Linked DNA regions of Danio rerio. The protein of the gene in region 4 purifies or fractionates together with the protein of the main gene of each other region. This does not show direct contact. Links are inferred from orthologs where the notes say so. Each region holds a gene or a part of one and is shown on either strand. Other genes may lie near its edges. The genes, in order: psma4, psmg1, psmg2 and pomp.

What was found.
Region 1: the proteins of pomp (region 4) and psma4 fractionate together in Homo sapiens (co-fractionation; 4 studies listed by BioGRID and IntAct, with this or other methods). This does not show direct contact. The link is inferred for Danio rerio from reciprocal best matches to the Homo sapiens genes POMP and PSMA4.
Region 2: the proteins of pomp (region 4) and psmg1 purify together in Homo sapiens (affinity purification with mass spectrometry; 4 studies listed by BioGRID and IntAct, with this or other methods). This does not show direct contact. The link is inferred for Danio rerio from reciprocal best matches to the Homo sapiens genes POMP and PSMG1.
Region 3: the proteins of pomp (region 4) and psmg2 purify together in Homo sapiens (co-immunoprecipitation; 6 studies listed by BioGRID and IntAct, counting the BioPlex papers as one, with this or other methods). This does not show direct contact. The link is inferred for Danio rerio from reciprocal best matches to the Homo sapiens genes POMP and PSMG2.

What each region holds. Positions count from the first base shown.
Region 1 is NC_133200.1:6,943,373-6,947,730, reverse strand, and holds the start of psma4 (proteasome subunit alpha type-4), read left to right. Parts: upstream 1-1,557; 5' UTR 1,558-1,621; intron 1,622-2,188; 5' UTR 2,189-2,210; coding exon 2,211-2,213; intron 2,214-2,298; coding exon 2,299-2,341; intron 2,342-2,430; coding exon 2,431-2,593; intron 2,594-4,358. UniProt on the Homo sapiens protein: Component of the 20S core proteasome complex involved in the proteolytic degradation of most intracellular proteins. This complex plays numerous essential roles within the cell by associating with different regulatory particles.
Region 2 is NC_133185.1:517,354-521,664, forward strand, and holds the start of psmg1 (proteasome assembly chaperone 1), read right to left. Parts: upstream 2,825-4,311; 5' UTR 2,746-2,824; coding exon 2,621-2,745; intron 1,821-2,620; coding exon 1,732-1,820; intron 908-1,731; coding exon 750-907; intron 520-749; coding exon 457-519; intron 245-456; coding exon 46-244; intron 1-45. UniProt on the Homo sapiens protein: Chaperone protein which promotes assembly of the 20S proteasome as part of a heterodimer with PSMG2.
Region 3 is NC_133194.1:13,460,144-13,463,709, forward strand, and holds part of psmg2 (proteasome assembly chaperone 2), read left to right. Parts: intron 1-672; coding exon 673-846; intron 847-926; coding exon 927-1,047; intron 1,048-3,566. UniProt on the Homo sapiens protein: Chaperone protein which promotes assembly of the 20S proteasome as part of a heterodimer with PSMG1.
Region 4 is NC_133196.1:43,981,015-43,985,125, reverse strand, and holds the start of pomp (proteasome maturation protein), read left to right. Parts: upstream 1-1,308; 5' UTR 1,309-1,335; coding exon 1,336-1,338; intron 1,339-3,131; coding exon 3,132-3,232; intron 3,233-3,316; coding exon 3,317-3,377; intron 3,378-4,111. UniProt on the Homo sapiens protein: Molecular chaperone essential for the assembly of standard proteasomes and immunoproteasomes. Degraded after completion of proteasome maturation. Mediates the association of 20S preproteasome with the endoplasmic reticulum.

The DNA.
Region 1 (4,358 bases), on a different chromosome or scaffold from region 4:
TAAAACAGGTTTCATATTTCACCAATAGATTTGTATACTTAGGATGTCTACAAGTAGATATTCATATATCAATTCAATTCATCATAATTTCTGTAGCACTTTTACAATGTAGATTGTCAAAGCAGCTTAACATAGAAGTTCTGGTAAATTGAAACTGTGTCGGTCCAGTTGAAGATCAGTTTAGTTCAGTTCATTTATTTATTTTTTGACATAATCCCTTTATTAATCTGAGGTTGCCACAGCGGAATGAATCATCAACTGATCCAGCACATGTTTACGCAGCGGATGCCCTTCCAGCTGCAACCCATCACTGGGAAACACACATACACTATGGACAATTATAGCTTACCTAATTCACCTAATTAGATTACCTGATTCATGTATTTGGACTGTGGGGAAACTAGAGCACCTGGAGGAAACCCACGCGAACGCTAAGGGAACGTGCAAACTCCACACAGAAATGCCAAGTTCGGATCAGTGACCTTCTTGCTGTGAGGCGACAGCACTACCTGCTGTCACTGTGTCACCTAGTTCAGTGTGGTTTCATTTTCACTGCTGAAAGTCCAAACACTGAAGAGCAAATCCAACGATGCGCAGCTCCACAAGTCCTAAACCAAGCAAGCCAGTGGCGAGGAGCAAACTTCACCAATCAACGAAAGTGAAGGAAAAAAAAATCGAGAAAAATCAGGCTCAGTTGGGCAAAACCATTTCTTTCAGGAATCAGTCTCATGCTCTCTATTCCTCAATGGCCACCACAGCATCAGCTCAGGATACGGCCTGGTCCAGGATTATGGATACCTTGGCATCATCTCTTTACAGTTCTTGGATCATATCAATGGTGCTGCACAATCTCTAGAGCCCTCTGGATGAGGATCCCCAGGTGGAAAAAGAGAATAACACATCACAGAAATTAACTTCCTCTTATCAGAGCGTGATTTTCGAAAACGTACATCATGGGTCTTACACCTGATTCCTGGAGGGCCGCCGCTCTGTACAGTTTTGTTCCAACTCTAATTAAACTAATCAAGGTGTTTAAGGCTACTACACTATTAAGCAGGTGTGAGATGGAGATGGTGGAAGCTAAACTATGCAGAGCTGCAGCCCTCCAGGAATTGAGTTTGAGACCATTGAAGTACACAATTTTTAACCTTCATTTTCAAACATTTTTACACTTATTAGAATATTGCCGTTTCAATAAAAACGCTATAACGTTTAACAACAAATTGATATAAATAAAAGGCATTTTTAGGTAGTTTTAGAAGTCGTAGTCCCATGAAATTAAAATATTTCAATATCAAACATTGAATTACAAAAAAACACTTCATGGGACCTTTAATGTTAAAATATGTTTTGAAAAAATAAAATTAATGTTGCAACTGATATTCTATGTAGAAAACCAAATAAAAGAAATTTGAAATATAAATTAAATAAATGATAGTCAAGCCAATCTGCTAGCGCATCCGCTTACCCTCAAAAAACTGAGCCAATCAGATGGCTGAACGTAAGACACGTGACTCATCCTGGAAGTGAACCCAGAGTGGACGCGCTTCTCGCCGCAGTGAATTTCTTCAGCGGAGTCGGAGCCGCAACAGTGAACAGGCATTGCTATCCCAGGCTTTAGGTATGAAAATTGTAATATTCTACAATTTTTTACATTCTTCACATCATGTTTATGATAATCCCAAACATTTGATGCGTGTAAGAGACGCTGAGCCGGCGTAAGGTGAATTAAACGAAGGCTAATTTTAAATGATATGAAAAGTTGCTGCTTCATGCTGTTATGCAGCTGCTAATGCTAAAGCTAAACACATTCATACAGGAGAAACTGATAGAAGCGCTACAGTTCACCTTTATATTCCAGCACATTTAATATTAAAGTAGTTTTTATTGGTAATTTAATGTATTCGTTATGCTTCATTTGTGTTTGTGTGGAATTTTGCTATTTTCAGCTACTTTCTGTTTCATTTTGTTGCTCAATGAGTGTTTAAGCGCCTTAGATAGTGACAGCAGCACAACAAATATTTTTAACTGAAATAAACTGATATATTTATTAATTATAATGTGTTTTAACTATTAATGTTGAGCATATTTTTCTTGTTTTGCACTATGTTTTATGTATTCATATATGTATTGACAGCAACACAAATACATTACTGATTAATTAATTAATTTTGTAATCTGTTTGCAGGATTTATTTTATTTAGGGCACTATGGTAAGTAACAATTTATTTCTTAATTTTTAATGCGTTTTATTGATTAACAACATTCATAATCATAATTTTTGCTTTATTTTTACAGTCTCGGAGATATGATTCAAGAACGACCATCTTTTCCCCAGAGGGTGAGGGTCTTTATAGGCTGTTTGGTTAAATTATTGTGCGTTTTATTGTTCTGAATGTTGATTATTATTGTTTTAATTATGTTTTGCAGGGCGTCTGTATCAGGTAGAATATGCCATGGAGGCCATCGGGCACGCTGGCACCTGTCTGGGCATCTTGGCCAATGACGGTGTGCTGCTGGCTGCGGAGCGAAGGAACATCCACAAACTGCTGGACGAGGTTTTCTTCTCCGAGAAGATTTACAAACTCAACGAGTGAGTCTTGGGTTTTTTTTTTTTTTTCATATGAGATTTTGAGCATTTGTTTGACTTGAGTATCTTTTACATTGTTAAATGAACACAAATAACCTCCTAGCATTTGAATTTCTCAGTAATAGTTTTGTAAATGAAGATAAATTAATAAAATGTATTATTATTTCTTGTATTGGCGGAATAGCTTTGAAATTAAAGGTGTAGATTTATTTGTTTATTTATTTATTTATTTGTAGACTGATCTATTTATTATTATTATTATTATTTAATCCAAAGCCACTTGATTACAAATGTGGAAGGCACTGTGCAAATGATCATAAAGAGGCAATACACATAAGAAGTGCTACTAATACAAAGATTCTGACATGGTTAGGAAAATAAAAGCTTGGTTTTTTTGTGTGTTTGGGTATTTTTTTGTAAATCTTTTTGGCCTAGTTTTAGGATATAAGCTTGAAATTTATTTCAGTTTGTTTTTAAGTTATTTTAATATGTTTTTGATTAGTTTTAGCTTCTTTTTTTGTCATTTTGCAATATGCACTTGTCATTTTTATTTTTTTATTTTGGGTCTAGTATTTAAAATGTGCTTCAGTTTGTTACTTTTTTAAACTTTTTTTTTAACCTTTGAGGCTGAAATTTTATCTGTGTTAGTCAGTAGTTTTTTCTTATATTTATGCGTTTAAGTATTAGAAATTTTTACTACTTGTACTTTTCGATTTAATTCAAATAGTTATCAATTCTAATTTGACCTTGTTTTTCGTTCAATTTTGATTTATTTCTATTTCTGTGTATGGTCATTGTTAGGTTTTGGTAAAATGTAATGCTTTTTCAGTTAGCTATAAAAGCTTATTTTTAGTTTGCTTTAAAGTTTTCATCAAACATTTATGTCATTTCAGCTTTACTTTAAATGTTTTTAGTCATAAAGTAAGGCATAATGTACATGTAGCCCGTTGTTCTAGCAGAATAAAGCCTGACAGGTTTTTCAGCAGCTGTTGCATAAGACTGAATTGATTAATTCTGCGTAAAGACCTGTCTAGATGTGCATTATCCCACTTGTTTCATGACTTCTTGCCACAAAACTGAACTAAATTAGACATAAAACACTGATCTGAGTTGTAATAATTTACTAAGTCTTTAGTTAGACGTAAAGCATGTAGAAATAAAAACATCTGAATGCAGGCTGTGCTCATTATCCAGGCACAAGATGGCGACAAAAAAGCATGTAAAAAATTTAGGTTATAATGGCTATAGTTGTGTATAAGTCCTATATTTTATCTTTAATAGGAATAACAAAAAATCGATTAAAAGTTAAAAATAGCTTTCAATGTATAATCTCGTATATATTTCCCGCTGGTTTGTGTCTTATTTTTATTATATTTTTTTTACTTTTTTTTTCTTTGTTTAAAATGTGCATAATGTACCACCATTTCTGTATTTTTTCTGATGTTATAAGTTTCAATTCAAAGTTGCTGCAATCTTTATTGTTAACTGGTTTTTGAAATCAATAAAAAAACTGATTATAAGATAGAGGTGTGAACCTACACTGGTCTCACGGTTCAGTTACGATTAACATGCCATCGATTCAGTTAAATTCGATATCACGGTGCATTGACAATGCTTTCCATACACAGTTTTATATTTTCTTCACAGCACAGCAATTCTTGTATTAAAATGTATGAATATATTTATATTTACCATTTGTAATACAATTTTGTCCTTTAATACAAACAGTCAGATATATAAACTGTACCTTTAAAACAACACAAGCGTT
Region 2 (4,311 bases), on a different chromosome or scaffold from region 4:
GTGAGCAGTACAGTAGTGTAATAATGCAGTATAGCGGTGTTGTACCTGCGGCTGCCAGTCCGCTGCAGATGTTGGGCTGCTCCAGCGGTGGACATGTGACGGTGTGTGTGTATGTGCTGGTCTTCAGACAGCGCAGGAATGGTGTGCTGCTCCCACTCAGGTAGTCTGATGTCTTATAATCAGCCGAGGAGCAGTCTGAGAGAATGGTGACGTTCAGATCCCTCGTCTGAACACATGAGAAGACCTGCACACACACACACACACACACACACACACACACACACACACACATACACACACACATACACACAGCAATGGGGAAGGGCTCGCAGACACACACACATACACACACACACACACACACACACACAGCAATGAGGAAGGGCTCGCAGACACACACACACACACACACACACACACACACACACACACACACAGCTCTGTATGAGGCCTCACCTTCTCTGTAAACTGGAAGAGCTGATCCTCTGCCACAAAACCCTGGCACTGGCAGATCAGCACCTGCGCGCACACACACACACACACACAATTACATTTAAAGCGACAGTCATCAAAACACCACAATGAGGATCACAGCCTGAAAGGGTCAGTTTCAGAAAGCTGGAGAACATCATCCGTGTGCTGTTTCCAGCTCACACACACACACACACACACACACACACACTGTGTACAGCTTGTATATAGTGGCAGAATAGCTCTCCTGTAGTGTATAGTGATGGTGCGCTCCTCACAGTGGGACAGCTCTCCAGCCGGTACAGCACACAGGAGGGCTCTCCGGGCCCTGGGACCACAGTCGGCCGCTCAGACCCACGGCTCCGCTCATTCCAGAAGGAGAGCCACGCCACGGCCGTCCATCCTACAGTGCTCAGCAGATACGCACGAATAAACCCTGCACAGACCACACACACACACACGCGCACACACACAGCAAAACATTATCTTTATTCATGGCGACACGGTGGCTCAGTGGTTATCACTGTGGCCTCACAGCAAGAAGGTCACTGCTTCGAGTCTCGGCTGGGTCAGTGTGTGTTTCTGTGTGGAGTTTGCATGTTCTCCCCGTGTTATCGTGGGTTTCCTCCGGGTGCTACGGTTTCCCCCACAGTCCAAACACATGCTCTGCTGTTGTTTGATGTAATGTTCAATAGTATAGTGCAGTATTTTAATCATGTATATGGTGTGTTTGCCTGCAGTCGTCTATCGGCACTGATATACTGTCGTTTACTCTCCTAAATGTCATCTATTCACATCTTACATGTCATGTTTTATCTTAATCTAATTTTTCCAAATGTTGAATATCGCAGTACTACATTATATTTATTTATCATACATTAAATTAAGATCAAATCCTGCAGTGGGAATCGCCATGTCATCTTTCACTGAATCTTTCATTTAACACAGTCATTCAGTCATTCAGTGACTCACTGTGAATCTCCCCAAACATAAAATCACATGTTGAACTTCATACAAAAACAAAAATATTTTCTTTATTTTCAAAAGGTAACTAATAAGAAAGATAAATTACTAGGAGAGTAATTACTACACAACTACACAATTCTATTTCCAAGCACTTTTTTAACCGCTGAAAACAGAACATTGAAATTAATACATTTTCAAGGACACACACACACACACACACACACACACACACACACACACACACACACACACACACACATCTGCGGTGTCTAGAGTACAGGAGTGAGGTCTCACCGCTGGCGTTCGGCCCCGCGCCAATGATCAGATCTGAACACTGCAGGGGCCCATCCTGAGAGCCCAAGAGCCAGCACACCTCCACTGACCTGGAGGAACACAACACAATACCTGTAACACAATATATCTACACACACCCTACACACACACACTACACAATACATACAACACAACACTGAATATTAACTCAATCTACACACACACACACACACACACACACAAACACACATAAACAAAACTGAACACTAGAGCTGTAACACTGAGGTAAAGTTGGTTTTATATTCACACATTCATTAATTTAACGGTCTCTATATCGTTTACCACACTCATATGAATATTTAATCAGAATTAGCATACAAGTATGAGTTCAAAACAACATCAACACTATATAACTGACTGTAAACATGGCTGTACTTTAGTCTTTGACTGCTAATCTGATCTCCCAATTTAGATTTAGCAAAGAACACTTTTCTGAAAATAAATGATTAAGCAGAATGTCTGAATATCCCAATATCAAACCAACTTTACCTCTGTCTGAATGAGCTGAGCTTGAGTGTTGTTGAGTCAGTAAATGAGAATAATCCAGCATGTTGAAGTGCAGAGTGTGTTTATTTACCACAGTGTGGTTTTGGTCAGTAAATACGGCTAACTGTGTGATGTGGTGCTGTTGCTGTGATAGAAACAGGACATTAAGTATCGCTAAACGCCATAGAGGATCACTGTAACACAGCGATGATGAAGATGATGATGAAGAGAGACACGTGATGAGTCACAGACCCGCGCTGCTGAAGTGAAAGTGAAAGCGTCCTGCGTTTCTCTTATAAAGTGCTGATATTGACTGCAGTCACAGGTTTGATCAGATAATCAGTAAATATGATGAGCATGTCACCTCTTCTCCTCTATTTCGCGGCGGATCTGCTCATCTTCCTCGTTTTCATTCGTCATGTCTTCATACTCATCCTCTTCCACAGCTCGAGAATACACTGATAACACCTCGCCGAAGAATGTCGCCATATTACACTGATAATCAAGCTAATTTATTAATAAAACTCACAGGCGGGGTGTAATGAGCAACACTACGCGATGCTTCTTCTTCTTCTTCGTCGTTAGGTTTTAAGGGCAGCTGGCATCCTGTTTGTTGCATTACTGCCCCCTTCTGGACTCCTTTCAGTTTTCCCTCAGGAAATTCATCAAACACCTCCTTTCTGTTCTTCTGCTCATTCTAATAGACCTTTGAAACTTATTTCTGCATTTCTTAAACTTATCAGTTGAGTTACCATTTCTTGTCTCTCTTGTATAAATGCACTACATGACGTCCTCAACACATGCTCCTCTGTCTCATACACCTGAACAGGCTGTATTGGATCGGGAGTGAAGGTGTCTGAATGTAAAGAGGCTGAGGTGTTTATTTGTATGTTTATTAACTTCTATTGTGTCGAAACCACTAAAAGAGGCACTGATGTGATCATGTATGTGTTATATGGCTGTATGGTGCACAAAGCTTCGTGATTTTTCGAAATCTTATTATGTGTAACTGCACACGTTCTGTTGAGGAAAACAAGTGCGGAACGGCCACAAATACCATCATAAAATACTGATTATATTACAAATACATACAACATATTGGGGATACAACTGAACGTACAAATGGTTCTTTTTTAATGGTTAAAATATATATTTAAGGATCATGGAGTTAAAATCTGAACTCTGTCGGCGCTCTTTGTTTTGATTTCACGGAAGTGATGTACATGACACGTTCTTGTTGCCTACGTCATAGTGTTCATTGAATGTTTTCGCTAGTTTGTTTTAGATTATAATATATGAAGCTACAAAAGATAAACTGTCCAGAGTTTTACTTCAACCTGAGTTTACAAATTCTGATTATTGATTTCTGAAAAAGGCTAGTTTTAAGTAGTGCTTTTCCATTGGCTGTTCGACTGTCCCGTTGCATGATGGGAAGTGGTTCGCTGCAAAATGTCCTTATTCTGTTTTAAAAAATACATAAATAAGTACATAAATAAATATATAGATGAAGGGGTAATCTTTGCATCTACACACAGCGGGATTGTGCGGTTTGATCGCATTGGTTCACGTGTGGCGTAGTGAAGAGTCACCGCCATCAAGAAGGATGTTTCTGACGGTCAAGACCCTTCCGGTACTATAACGGAATCATACTTACCTGGCAGGGGCGATACCATGATCAGAAAGGTGGTTCACCCAGGGCGAGGATTAGCCATTGCACAAATCGGCTAGTTTGACCTCTGACAATTTCTCAAATGCAGGAATCTGTACTGCGTAATTTCTGGTAGTGGGGGACTGCGTTCGCGCTCTCCCCTCATCTCTCGGTCAACAATAGAATACAATATTAAAAGAATACAATATGATGAGCTCAAATGGGCACACTAATTGTCTGATACAATGACTGTAATAATTCAAAGAGTATCAGACTACAACCGAAACACTCTGTCAGACATCATTCCGACAATCACAGAATGTATTTTTCCCGTCCACAATATAACTTCTACACCCAAATATATATATATATTACAAATTAGGAATTAGAGTTAAGAGATTTGTATA
Region 3 (3,566 bases), on a different chromosome or scaffold from region 4:
AAATAATTTGAAACGGATCTTAATCCTTCATTGTTTATTTAAAGCTACCCAATCGATCCAACACAATCACAAAGCTACCCAATCATCAACAATTCATCTCAATAAAACTTTTAGCAAAACTATATTCATAACTAATTGTAATAGTTAATTCATAACTATGTCTGTTGTGCATACATTTATTTTAAGTTTTTTTTTTTTTTTTAATATGTAGCTAACAAATAACTAATTACAATTAGTTTTTTGTTTTTGATAGGGCATGTACATGTTTTTTTCTGCTGGGCTATTAAAAAATCCTTAGTGTTTAAGACTATATACGTCTGAAATTTTATTCTTCATGGTCTTAAAAAGGTCTTAAAGTCTTAAATTTGACTTGGTGAAAGCTGCAGAAACCCAGTTTATGAAGTTCTTTCTTCTGTTGAACACAAAGGCAGATAATCTGAAGAACGCTGAAAAAAACGGCTATTGACATCCATAGTAGGAACAAACAATACTATGAAAGTCAATGGCTGTTTTTTTTTTTTTACCAGCATTCTTCAGTATATCTTTCTGTGTGTTCGACAGAAGAAAGAAACTCGAACTGGTTAGAGGGAACAAAAAAAGCACTTGCAGAATTTACATTTTTTGGTGAACTACCACTTCAATAGCAGCTGACATAAACCTGTTTTTGAGCAGCACTCCTCTGCGATACATGTTGAGCCCGTCTCTGGAGAAAGAGGAACGGCAGAGGTTCGAGGAGCTGGGCTGGAGGGAGATGGAGAAAATCAGTGTTTTCCCTGGTATCTCTGACTCTGAGCAACGTCTCTATATTCCTGGAGGAGGAGTAACAAAATGCCTTTACACTGACTGGTAAAATACCTCATATTTCTGTAAAATGTCTAATTAATAATAGTAAAATCAGTCAAAGAAGTGTTTTTTTTGTCTTGTAGTTGCACAGAGGACGTCCCTATGGCAGTAGTGCTTATCTTCTGCTCAGAAGGAGACAACATCCCTGACGCGTTTGCTCTCATCAATTGTCTCAATGACTGGCTCCATCTGCTGGAAAAACCTGTAAGTTTAGTTTTATATTTAAATCCTAATAATAGGACATGCGCCTGAAATGTTATCAATGCAACATCAAAATACATTTGGTGGTGCATAAAATTAATGTCGCGCGACCAGTGCGTGGAACTAGGCGGCATTCACTCATTAAGCATCTTTGCACCTAAAAACGCCAAACGCAGCGCTCAGGAATGGTTTAAAACAGTTGACATGTCAACTTGCAGTAAACAAACCCCACAATGATTGCCCCGCCTTCAAGCTCTTCTTATTGGCCCACTGCGATAGAACAGAACATGAATAGATTGGTTAATATCAGCTGTCAATCACTCAGTTCCAATGACAGGGCGCTACAGCCGCAAAAACGTAAAGGTCTGGATACGAGAGAATGAAAACAACATTGACAGATTTAGTTTTAGAAACCACCTAAAGTTACAAATAATGACACATCTGATTAGTGATCATGTAATAAATGTTAATCCAGCATTTACACATTTCCAAGAGTGGATAAAAGACTTCAAGTGGTTAAAGTCCGCTATGAAAATATCTAAAGCATACACCGTTAAGCCAATGGGACAGAGTTTACAGGTTACAATGTTTGCCACTGAATCTACACATTTTAAGCATGAGATGCTCTAACGTTATTTAGTCCATCATTTAATCATCACGTTGCTGTCAATCGTGCAACTGAGACTGCGTTCACTATCGCTAAAGAGCCTGCATTCGAAGATGAAACTAATATTGCAGCTCATGAAAAGACCATTACTGCTATTATGATGACGTATGCAATTAATAAGTATATATTTTATATGTCAATATCATCTGTGCAATATCAGACACCACCCGTGAGAACACAGCACAGTTATTATTGTTAACTAGTAATAGGGCCGTTGAATTAAAATCTGAGAAATCCTCTGGCTTTTTTCTTTTATTGCTGTATCGAAAACATACCGAACCGTGACACCACTGTATTGTATTGAACCGAGCCGTGATTTTTGTGAACCGTTACACCCCTTATATATATATATATATATATATATATATATATATATATATATATATATATATATATATATATATATATATATATATAGTGTGTGAACAAAAGTGTTTTTGAAGCTTCATATCATACTGAATGTTTTGACAAAGTTACTGAGTTTTTGGTCTTGGACCATTGGAGTCTATGGAGGATGAGAGAGCTCTCGATTTTGATCTAAAACATCTTAATTTGTGTTCTGAAGATGAACAAAGCTTTCAGGAACTTCACATGGATAAGTCATTAAAACAGTTTTCAGCTGTGCATGAACTAATCTTTAAATATTGTAGAGCTACTTTTTTCATGTATGTTTAAAAGAACAAATCATTATCACTTCTGTGGAAGCTGGTGCAAATTTGTCAGTGATAAAAGTTTCTATTGAAATATAAAACCATGTCCTATTAGAAATGTTTTGAATTTGTATTTCTTAACTTGATTTTTGAACATCTGAAACTTAAGACTAATTTTTAAGTCTGATTTTTATAGACATATTTTTACATTTTTATTTACTCTGAATTCAAAGACTGCAGACATTGGGTATTTAAAAATACAGTTTTAGGTTTTTAAGAATTCAAATGAACACAATACAAATTCAGATTGTTGTGGCACTGTTAGCTTCATGTGTATTTAGGAGACGTTCACCCAGAATGCATCTTTGCACCTGAAACCCCTATCCAATGACTGTAAAAAGAAATAATGACTGGTCATTAAAGTTTGGTACTACAGCCAAACAAAATCTGATTGTAAGCTCATTTTTTGAGATATCAGCTTTAGGTAGAAAGAGACCAAACTTAAAAACATGCTTCATCCAATAACTGAACTTTTTTATTTATTTTTTAATCATTTTTGGGTGAACTATCCCAATAAGTCTGTGCTCTATAGTTCTTAACCTTTTAAGTTGAAATATCATATTGTGCTTTTTAAAATAGCACAATGGATTTAAATGTGAAAAAGTACCTACAACATATATAAAGTAACTAACCGTGGTTATTAGGTGCTGAAAAAGCATACAAATGCACATTGAAAGTGCTTGAAAAGTGCTGGAATTTGAAGTTGAAAAAGGTTTAAGAACCCTGAATATGCAAAGGCCTTGGTTGCATCTGATATTACATTGTGTTTTTGTCAATTCAATAATAAAAATAAAAAAATCATTTTGAGCTTGTCCTCCTCTGACCTTTTAAAAGTGCTAATTGAAGCCCCAAATAATAAGTAATTAAATGTGAAAATGCCAGATGGAAATGGTAATGTTTCTCAACTGAACACTTATAATCAAATCAGTGTAAGCACATTTTAATACCAGGCAGTAACGGTCAGACCTCCTTTTTTATTTAATAAATCAGTGTCTCACTTAGGGATGTAACGGTATCAGAATTTCACGGTACGGTAATACCTCGGTATGAATGGCACGATACGGTATTTATTGAATCATTTACAGGAAAAACAAAAATAAGGAAAATACCCCAAAAAAATCGACAACACCGCTAATTAGTAGGCG
Region 4 (4,111 bases):
CACTACAGAATGTTACGTTTACACACACATGCACATGGCTGTGTCCGAAACCGCATACTTCCATACTATATAGTACGCTAAAATCAGTATGCGAGCCGTGTAGTATGTCCGATTTCATAGAATTCGAAAATCAGTATGCGAGAAGTACCCGGATGACTTACTACTTCCGGCGAGACTCTGAAGTGCGCATCCCAATGCACGCTGCGCTATCCCATAATGCCCCGTGAGAGAATTCATGAATGGAAGTGAGGCGACACAACTGACGCAGGTAGGTCACGTGTCCATGACAAATTGGCGGATGTAGTACGTCCGAATTCCATTCAAACTTTTCACATTCATACTGTATAGAACGTACTTTTCTAACGGCCGAGTAGTACGTTTAAATTCAAATGCAGTACCTACTGAGTAGTAGGCGGTTTCAGACGCAGCCCATGTAAATTCATCAGCTTTTAACAGTGTAATACTCACTACTGACTACTCTTGAGTACTTTTGAAAAGGTCTATTTTTTACTCATACTTTGAAAAGTATTTACCACAGATACTTTTACTCACACTACATTTTTATGTAAGCCATGGTGCTTTTACTTGAGTATGATTTTTCAGTGCTAGAATATGAGAAAGTTTTCTTTTTCTTTTTTTCTTCAAAATCTTGTTATATTCCGCTGTGTATTCACTTTTCTCAAAATGAAATATTTCAAGAGCTTTGTTCTTCTTGCTTTTGTTACAACTCAAAATATTTAAACATTTTCTTAAACTTGAACTCTGCATATTCATGCATATTCAAGTTGTGGAACCACTTAAGTGTGATTTAATAGTCAGTTTCCTGTTACTATCTCTTTAAATAGATTGCAAAAAATAATAATAAAGAACTTGTCGATGCGATTATTATATATTGTTACAATTATATTTGAGAAAGACATCGCTCTTACTTCGCAGAGTTGTCTGTCTCATTTGAGTTTGCCTAAATCTATCATGCAAATTATAATTACTAAAAGGACAGAAAAATAATGAGTATTGAGGGGGCACCCGGATTTGAACCGGGGACCTCTTGATCTGCAGTCAAATGCTCTACCACTGAGCTATACCCCCTTTCTCATACCACACTGCTCCATGAAGTGTTATTGTAGACAAATAAGAAATGTTCATTCTGGTATTTCTTTATTGATTATGTCAGTGGCCTATATATATGATCGGCAATATTAACAAAGATCTATTTATGGTATAAACCGCTCTCAAATATAATTTCATACGTCGTCGTCACATGATAACAAAAGTATATCCGGGGACTGACCGGAAGTACATTAACTCTAGTCGGAAAGACAAGCTAGATAAAAGATGGTAATGTTGAACTTCAGTTTTTACTTTTATTTTATTTTATTTCCCTTTTTTACATTGGGCCATTTTTTTAGATGGCTATTTAGGTTGTTTTCAGCATACTATGAAACTATGTACATATAGCATTGAAAAGCGCTTATTTCAGCTGTGCCGGTTGTTAGCTTGCTAGCATAGCATGGCAGATCGTGTTTATTTATTTCCTAGAGCAGATTAAGTTATCAGTTTGCAATTAATGTCATGAGCACTTATTATTTGCTTTGGCATTTTATTTATGATACATATTATTGCTTTGTATTGATTTTGTCGGCTTTTTTGTTAGCATCTGAGTGAATTGTGATGCGTCATTGCTTCAACTCCAGTCATCGCTTAACTTACTTTCAGTTTGTATTTAAGTTACCTGTAAGTTAGGGGGATTTTTGGAAAAGGTTTTGGGAGATTAAGACATCAGATCAGGCCAGAACTATTATTAATTGTTTCCTGATTAAATATTATAACTTAATATATTGATAATAATTGCATTTTCCAGAACTTGAGCAATCCAGTATAACCTGATATCAACGAGACATTTTTATGTAGTCATTTTTTCACTGACAGGAATAGTTTTACAGACAGTATTGCATTTTACCTAAGATTTAGCATATATCTAACCATTGTTTAAATACGTTAAAGAGAAGAATCCTTTATTATACAAATGTTTTGTTGAGGTAGTTTGTTTTTCTTATTAATAATACAACTTCAGAAAATATTCTTTGCCAATGACTAAGAACTATTGTTCACAGTCAGTATTGAAGTCAATAGAGGTAAAGTTGGTTTTATATTCGGATATTCAGACTTTCTCCTTAATAATATAATTTCAAAAAAGCAATGCTTAACATTTCTTAATAGGGAAATTATATTAGCAGCAAATGATTATCAAAGTACAGCATTGTTCACAGTGAATTAGATAGAGTTAATGTTGTTTAGTAGTCATACTTGCATACTAATTCCTATCGAATATTCAAAGTAACATGGTAAACAATATAGACTGCTAAATTAACAAATGTGCAAATATAAAACCAACTTTACCTCTATTTGAAGTCATACTTCCATGCAGTTTCAGACTGAATATTCAAAGTCGTGTGGTTGTCTCTGTTTTTAAAATGAAGCAATGTGTAAATATAAAGCCGGCTTAACTTCAGTTTTTTCCCCATATAAACAATATTTGCTAACATTTAAGTCTAACATTGATTTAAGTGCACTTTTGGTGTTTCATTCGATTTTGTTCTGCATATTCGTATAGTTTTGTTGATGTCTGTGAGTTTTTTTTTTTTTTTTAAATGGTAAATGCTATTGATGATCGTTTTGTCGTGTTATGAAAATATGCATTTTTGGTGTCACAATACTATAAAGACAGTCATGTTCAAATGATGAATCTTATTCCTTTTCTTATACTTGTAAATTCTCATATTTATAATTTGTAAGTTTTCCTACAAAAATAAAGATTTTATCTCCTAGAAGGACAATTAATAATACATCTAATTAGTATGGTTTTCTATGGAATAAAAAAATAATAGGCAAAATTGTAAACAATTAGTTTTATATAACTCAGTGTTTATGTGCAACACATCTTGTTCACAGAAGCTTTTAATGTTGTATGTTATGTAATTATTTTCATTATCTTTTGCATAATGTGTGTGTTAATAAAGACATAATCTTTTAGAGACATGAACATGTAGAGTTGTAACTGTCAAAAACCCATTCGGGTCTGTTTTCACATCAGCGGTGTTTAATTATCTTGCTGTGTGTGTTTTCCTCAGAACACTCGTGGCCTGCGCTCTCAGCTGAAGGACAGTGTTCCTGTCACAGGTCTGTGTCCTCAGGCTGGTCCTTATGGGGTCCAAGACTCTCTGCGCAGAGGGTGAGTTTTGCCTACAGAAACCTGTGCTGTGTTTGTTTCTGCCTCTTTTACAATTTTTCTTTTGACATTTTTCTTTGCTCATAGGTTCTCTAGTGTCAAAAATGAGCTTCTACCGAGTCATCCATTGGAGCTCTCTGAGAAAAATGTAAGTGGAATGAAGAATTTGTCTGTCTGTGTGCAATTACATAGAACAAGCTCATTTTTGTACATATAAATGGTTTTAAATGGGCATACATGTGGGTCATATGACATAAAAATGTATATTTTTTAATTAAAACTTAAAATTTGTTACCCTGGAGCACAGAATATTTATGTTGTACAGGTATATTTTTAACAATATGCAAAAATACATTATATATACTGTTGAAGTCAGAATTATTAGCCTCCACTTGATTTTTTTTCCCTTTTTTAAATACTTCCTAAATGATGAACAGAGCAGGGAAATGTTCACAGTATGTCTGATAATGTTTTTTCTTCTGGAGAAAGTCTTATTTGTTTTATTTTGACTCGAATAAAAGCAGTTTTTAATTTTTTAAACACCATTTTATGGTCAAATTAATAGATAAATGCATTAAATCGACATGCATTCACGAGCGGTTGTCGCGACTCGCTAGAAATGAGAATCACTTGTAATGTTGATTAATGTAATATTGATTACACCTACCCCAACCATAAATCCAAAAAGCTTTGTTTTTCCCATCTCTAGCATAAACTACTATGGCTATACTGAAAAAGTCAGCAGATAGTTTACTTCAGATCATGGAGAAGAAAAAAACAAGCAAACATTTTAAACATGAATGTTACAACTTAGTTAAACCAGCAATATCAGTTACTCAGCTTGTACTTTTAATAATGTTTATGACTTTTAATATTCATTCA